Linked DNA regions of Kluyveromyces lactis. The protein of the gene in region 1 interacts with the protein of each later gene in a pairwise test. Links are inferred from orthologs where the notes say so. Each region holds a gene or a part of one and is shown on either strand. Other genes may lie near its edges.

Region 1 (4,488 bases):
GAAAATTACAAAAACTACGGTGCCAATCTAGAATTCATTACCGATAAATCCTCTGAAGGTGCTCAATTCGTTACTGGTTTCGGTGGTATTGGTGCGCTACTTCGTTATAAAGTCAACTTCGAACAATTGATGGAAGATTCAGATGATGAATATTATGATGAAAATGAAGATGATGATGACTACGATTTCATTTAAACCTCTTCAGTCAAGCGATGTATAAATAGTGTTTATAAATATATATCTTTCTTTTCATTCTTTTCTTTATCATAAGTATCACCAAGATATATTTGATTAAGTTGTATTTGCAAGACATTACATATTTTTCATGCAATTCAAACATTCTTCACACTCCGACAACGACTGTTGTATTGGGAATATATATGTTTTCCTATTTTTATTTCTCTATAGCAGATAAAGGGCTTCATTTATGCTTCTTGCCCTTGAGTGTTTGCAATGCATCCACTTTATCATGTCCAATAATGGAATTGTGACCTTTATGTTTGACTAAAGTGTCAGCGAGATTGGTCAGACCTCCTGTTAGATAGCTTTTTCTTAAATCTTTTCTTAGTGGCATTTTTAATAACTCGTTGAGCTGGTATTTTAGAGCCTTATTTTCATTCTTTTCCAACTGTTTATTCAACTTTTTGGTTTTGTTTCTAGCTAAAAATTGGTCCTTTTCCTCTTCTTCTGAATCTAATTCAATATCCAATTCTTCAGCAGCCTTTTTTAACCAATTATCATCCTTATGTAGTGATTTCGTTGCTATCTCATCATCAGCAAGTTCGCTCGCTATCTTGCTTCTTTCTCTCAGCTGAGAAACGATGTCAGGCTCAAGTGGTAACATTGGGACATCATTCTGCCATTTTGTTTTCCTGGGGTTACTACTCTTCTTGGTAGATAACACCTTTCTGAGCTTTCTTAAAGGTCCCATGGATTCCTGTGGTGAACAAATCATGACAGAAACACCTTCATTATCACCACGGGCTGTTCTTCCACTTCTGTGGATATATACGTCAGCACTGCGGGGTAAGTGATAGTGTAAAACATGTTTGATACCCGAGATGTCCAATCCTCTAGCAGCGACGTCACTAGCAATTAAAATTGTTGGTTTTCCTACCTTGCTATTTTTCTCTGATTGTTCTTTGAACTTTTCAAGGTTCCTAAGACGATTTTTTTGAGCCATTGATGAATGGATCTGGAATGACGAAATCTTTAGATTGTTTAAAAATGCATTCAACTTTTTGACGCTATCTATAGCGTTACAAAATACTAAAGTTGTGCCAGGATACATCATGATAAAGTAGTAGACATATAAGTCACGCTCCATTGGCAAACATTCTATCAGGGATTCTTTGACCTGAGATGTAACTTTATGTTCAGGATTAGTATCGATAATAACTGGCTTAGATTTGAATTGAATTTTCTTCATCAAATGATTTAAAACTTGTTCCATTTCATTGTTCTCCCCACCGGCTGTTTTAAGGATTTTCCATGAAGTTTTATCTAATTTCGTGAAAAGATCCAATGAAAATGTGGCAGAGAAAATCATTGTTTGCCATCCACTTCCAGTTGGCTTTCCGTCGATACTTGTTTTAATTTTTCGGGCTTTCCCTAATAACTTCAAAATTTTCTCGAATTCATCGAAATGTCCGTCTTGTAGTAGTCTGTCTGCCTCATCAAGAACTAAAGTGTCAATTTTGGCAAACCTAGGAATCAGATCTGGGTTCCTTTCTAATAATTCCAAAAATCTACCAGGAGTTGCCACAATGATTCTACCAGAACCATCATATTTTAAGATACGTTCTTGTTTCTGAATCGACAAACCACCTGTTAGTGAAAGAATCGTGTACTTGTTAAGCTTATTCATTTTCGTCCAAACCTTTTGCAAATGGTCAGTTACTTGATGGGCCAATTCTCTAGTTGGGGTAAATATCAAGCCGATAGACCTATCATTTGATGTGTCTTTAATTAATTGTTCAATGATAGGAATACCATATGCTAAAGTCTTACCGGAACCTGTGCTAGCCTTACCCATGATATTATGTCCTTTCAGAGCTAAAGGAATAGATTTCAATTGAATTTCTGTAGGCCTGGTGAAGCCAAGCCCAGAGAGTCCTTTCAGCACTGTGAATGAGAGATCCATATTTTCGGACCACTCAGGAAGTACTGGAGGCTCTTGATCATCGATATCGACGTTAGAGGAAAATACGTTGCTCTGTAATAAGTCATCATTTGTTTGATCTTCAGTGACAACAGTACCTGCTTCCCCCTTAACATTTTCCTTCTCGGATCTTTCTTCTTCTTGATCTTCTGCTTCTTCTCCCTCTTCTCCTTCTTCTTCAGTGGACACATGGAACTCGCTCTCTTCATCATCCGAAGCTGCACTTAACTCACCCTCCTTGATATCGTCAAAATTCTTGAATTCAATTAATTCATCCATGTTGACATCTTCATCATCCTCTTGGAAAACGATATTATCCTTTTCCTCCACTTGCTCCGGCTCTTTCTTAACGTTCTTGTTATCTTTCGTGATGAACTGGACTTTACCGTCGACAACTTTCACATCCACACCATCGATTTCTTCTAATCCGTAGAAACCACCGAAATCATCTAAAGTATCTGGAATATCAACACTCTTCCAATTCAACTCATTAGCATTAACAGTGATATCTGTAGTGGCTACTTTCTTAAGGCTATTCTTATTAACCTTCTTCTTTGAATGATTCTTTGAAATACGGTCTTTCCTATCACTTTTAACAGGCTTCAAGTTCTTGCGATTCTTATTCGCCATTTTTGAAACACCGTATACCATTATTATTTCTGTCCTTTTCTTATACAGAATGAGGTCGACAACAATTAATTACCGAGAAACTTATTGTTCATGCACACGTATGCTGGTATCTCTTCTATCTCATCTCATCTCATCTCTTGGAGCTTCTTTCTCAAGATTTTCTAGAAAGTCGAAAAGAAACGATTCTATTTATGTTACCCGGATATGTCTTAAAAACTGTCCAACTCTTACATAACCGTCTGGTAAACATGATGGTATTGAAGCGAGATGAGCATCTCTCAACAAAACAGGTAAGGGCCACTCGGGTTATAACCCTCAACTTATACGTGAAAAATCTTATTACGTTGTTCCAATGCTCTCTCGAAGAAAGAGGACCATAACTGGAAAACCTGTTGCGAAACATGTACCGAAGATCAAACCTTCCAAGGCCAGGAAGATAATTAGACGTTTCCATCTATTGATTCAGAAGAGAAGAGTGATATGCAACAAGCTGCGATGTGATATAGTAGAAAACGATGAAGAGGCCAACGCTATTAATATTGAGAATTTTTTCCGAAAGAATAAAACTTTACAGGAAGATTTTAATAAGGGCAAAAAGTCTAGACGACCAAATCCAAGATTAGAGGAATTACTTGTTCATGTGCAAAGCATTGAACACAGTCAGCAATTATGTCAAATTCTTGGTTATATATGTGGAGAAATTGAAGAAGATGGCGGTTTGCAGAATTACCAATTTGCTAGTACAGTTGGTCAGGATTCCAACAGAGGTGGTGATTCATCTAAACAATTGGTAAAGTGGTGCAAAGAACTCGGGGTGGATAAAGCTCTGGGTATGAATGCGTTGGAATTGGGATCCCTTAGTGCGAAAAATCATATTTCTGTGTGTGGTCTCTTTAATCCCGTTGTTAGGATTGATCTTAACTCAAATGATACTGTAAATATTGAAAGGCAGGATTTCATGAAAAGACCATTACCAAAGGATGAATCGCAGAGATTTGACCTGATATCATGCTCACTTGTATTGAATTTCGTGCCGACACCCCTTCAAAGAGGCCAAATGATACTTCGATTCAAACAGTTTCTGAAATGTAACAAGAAAACGTATTTGTTTCTAGTTATACCTCTACCTTGCTTGACGAACTCAAGATACATGACTAAAGACAGATTCAATGAAATCATGCATGCGCTAGGGTATAGAAAAATAAGATTTAAAGAAGCAAAGAAGGTGGCTTATTGGCTTTACGAACTCGAACAATCTGAAAACACAATGTGTTCCTCACAAAATATGAACCAATTCGCCAAAAAAGCAAAATTATTGGACAAACCAGGCATGAACAACTTTTCAATTACATTTCCAAACAGGCAACCTTCCCATCAAGGCATTTATACAACGACCAAGCCCCTGTTCTCTAGGTAATAACGGCGGTATCTATGTGTATGTATGCATCAAAACGTACTTAATGATATACATAATCATGGACTTTCAAACATCAAAAAAAAAAAGTCCTACAGAATATTAAACTAAATATTCGGATACGTTAGACAGTACCTGTGATATATGTGGCATATTCTGGGTGAATAATTATCAGCGTAAACCAATAAGAACTCTATATATACAGTGCTTGACCAATATGGTGGTACACATTTTAGGTAAAGGTTTCAAGGGTAAAGAAATTATTAAAATTGGTCTAGCCTCT
Region 2 (2,897 bases), on another chromosome or scaffold:
TCAATTATTCGCTATCTTCACATTCACAGTTATCTTTAATCCAGCTTGTCAACAATACTTGCCTTTGTTCGTCTCTCAAAGAGACTTGTACGAAGCTAGGGAACGTCCAAGTAGAACATTTTCTTGGCTGGCATTTATCTTCTCTCAAATCACCGTTGAAATTCCACTTAACATATGTTTTGGTACCATTGCCTTCTTCGTTTTCTACTATCCTATTGGTTTCTACAACAATGCGTCATATGCCGGTCAATTAAACGAAAGAGGTGTGTTATTCTGGTTATTCTCTGTTTCCTTCTACGTATTTATCAGTTCAATGGGTCAATTGTGTATTGCAGGTCTTCAGTATGCTGAGGCTGCAGGTAATATGGCATCATTAATGTTCACTATGTCCTTGAATTTCTGTGGTGTGTTTGGTGGTTCTGGTGTTTTGCCAGGGTTCTGGATTTTCATGTACCGTATTTCACCGCTAACTTACTTTATTGATGGTGTACTCTCAACTGGTCTTGCAAACAACCCTGTAACATGCGCAAACTATGAATACGTCAGCTTTAATCCAAGGAGTGGAGAAACCTGTGGTGAGTACATGGCGGACTATATTGACAAGAATGGTGGTTATCTACTAGATTCAAATGCTACGGAAGATTGTAATTTCTGTAAGATTTCTGAAACAAACGCATTTTTGACAAGTTTCCAATCTTCGTACCATAGAAGATGGAGAAATTTCGGTATTTTCATAGTCTTCATTGTGTTCAACTGGTGCGGTTGTGTTTTCCTATACTGGTTGGCTAGAGTTCCAAAGAAGAAGAACAGAGTGGCTGATGAGAGAGACCCAGATCATGGCAAGAAAATTGAAAATGTTCAAAAGGAAAAGGTTGAACCTCAATCCAATGAACAAGTTTAAGGATTTTTGCTTTTTGGCCAATTTTTACGTCGTTTACTTCTGTTTTTTTTTAACTATTAAACTTCATTTCTTATCGTGGGCTTGCGTTCTGCTTTAATATTTTGTTTATTCTGTATATATAGACCTGAATTGATATCTGGTTTCCCCATATATTACTATGGAAACCAAAAAAAGAAACTTCGATTGCATATAAAGTCCCAATATAACTCGATTGCAAGTACGAAAATTATTCAATTTTAGCATGGATCTCTGTTGTGGATGGTCGTTGAGGTAATCAAGATCCTTTGATGGGATATTCGTCAGCTCACCCTTCCTACAATGATTGCAGCGACGAATGTGAACTCTTTTCTTTTTATCGAAAATTAGCTTTCCAAAATTTTGAAAGTTTTTGTATTGATCAGATGAGATGAGATGAGATGAGATGAGGCTAACAAGATAGAAGTTGAATATAGTGGAACATAGCTAGTTATGTAGCTTATTCTAGGTCAAATAGCGAGGGTGCATAACAGCAAATCGGACGATACTATAATTTCAAAATGGCAGTGGATGAACTCAGAATAAAAAACAAGCAGAAGAGGCAAAAACTCTTTGCTGAGTTGAAGGATCAGCACAATAAGGAGCGTCATTCTATGAGGAGGACCAGAGCCAAGGAAGAACGTGAGAATCCGGAATTGAAGGAAAAAAGACTTGCTGAAAATGTTCCTGACACAATTGATAACCTCAGAGTTTACGATGAAACGATGGGTCAAGAAGTCGAAGGTGAAATGGATGATTTTATGAAATTTTTCAACGGTACCGAACCACCAAAGATTCTATTAACAACTAATGTAAACGCCAAAAAGAAGGCATATGAGTTCGCTAATATCCTGATCGAAGTTTTCCCTAATGTGACTTTCGTGAAGAGGAAATTTGGATACAAGCTGAAGGAAATCTCTGAATTCTGTAATAACAGGAACTATACAGATATCGTGATAATAAATGAAGATAAGAAGAAAGTAACGGGGCTTACATTTATTCATCTTCCAGAGGGGCCAACCTTTTATTTCAAAATAAGTTCTTTCGTCGAAGTCGAAAAGATCGTGGGCCATGGTAGACCAACTAGCCATATTCCAGAGTTAATCTTGAACAATTTCAACACCAGACTTGGTAAAACTGTGGGTAAACTATTCCAATCTATTTTCCCTAAGAACCCTGATTTCGAAGGTAGACAAGTGATAACGCTGCATAATCAAAGAGATTACATCTTCTTCCGCAGACACCGTTACGTTTTCAGGAACGAAGAGAAAGTAGGTCTTCAAGAACTTGGGCCCCAATTTACTATGAAACTCAAAAGACTACAAAGAGGTATCAAAGAGGAAACAGAATGGGAACACAAACCTTCAATGGACAAAGAAAAGAAGAAGTTCAATCTATGATATATTTGCATATATTTATATACAAATTCAAAGCCACCTGTGTACTAGTCCTGCACTTGGAGATTTATCAAAGATTTGACGGTATTATCATCACTACTCACGAGGCTGACGAAAAGTGGTGGCAAAATGAGAAATTCCTTGGCTTTAAAGAAAACAGGGCATTGAAACCTTTAAAGGATTTGGAATGTTTTGGGCTTAAATGAGTACAAGCCCACTGTTGAAAAGATTAATTGAAACAAACGGTTACTCTGTTGATCTGAAGAGGTGGTACACTAATTGCTCTTTAGGATTGTCATATTCTTGGTCATTATATTTGATCGATTGCAATCTAAGAAAAAGTATTTTTTCAGGCTGTTTGTTATTGTTGTTTTATTGGAAAGGAATTATTAACACGATCGATCACTGGGAAAGTAAACACTGACAGTAAAAACACTAAGCCACTTTACTCTTTTTTTTGTACACTGTTGCTATTACCTCTCTTTTGTTTTCAGCATCTTAACGTTGATTCTGGACTCATTTTGAAAACAACAGGAAATATCTGATCCAATTCTGTCTTGTAACTAAAGCGAATTGGGAGAATA

Evidence for each region.
Region 2: the proteins of MAK5 (region 1) and RPF1 interact in binary tests that used the Saccharomyces cerevisiae proteins (3 or more experiments, as listed by UniProt). The link is inferred for Kluyveromyces lactis from reciprocal best matches to the Saccharomyces cerevisiae genes MAK5 and RPF1.

Annotation. Positions count from the first base shown.
Region 1 is NC_006039.1:966,646-971,133, forward strand, and holds MAK5 (ATP-dependent RNA helicase), read right to left. Parts: upstream 2,813-4,488; coding exon 422-2,812; downstream 1-421. Other genes in the region: SUP45 (translation termination factor eRF1), read left to right, coding at 1-195; BMT2 (25S rRNA (adenine2142-N1)-methyltransferase), read left to right, coding at 3,144-4,208; SWS2 (mitochondrial 37S ribosomal protein uS13m), read left to right, coding at 4,423-4,488. UniProt on the Saccharomyces cerevisiae protein: ATP-binding RNA helicase involved in the biogenesis of 60S ribosomal subunits and is required for the normal formation of 25S and 5.8S rRNAs. Required for the maintenance of dsRNA killer plasmid.
Region 2 is NC_006042.1:2,012,156-2,015,052, reverse strand, and holds RPF1 (rRNA-binding ribosome biosynthesis protein RPF1), read left to right. Parts: upstream 1-1,437; coding exon 1,438-2,316; downstream 2,317-2,897. Other genes in the region: KLLA0_F21692g (pleiotropic drug resistance family ABC transporter), read left to right, coding at 1-901. UniProt on the Saccharomyces cerevisiae protein: Essential protein. Required for biogenesis of the 60S ribosomal subunit.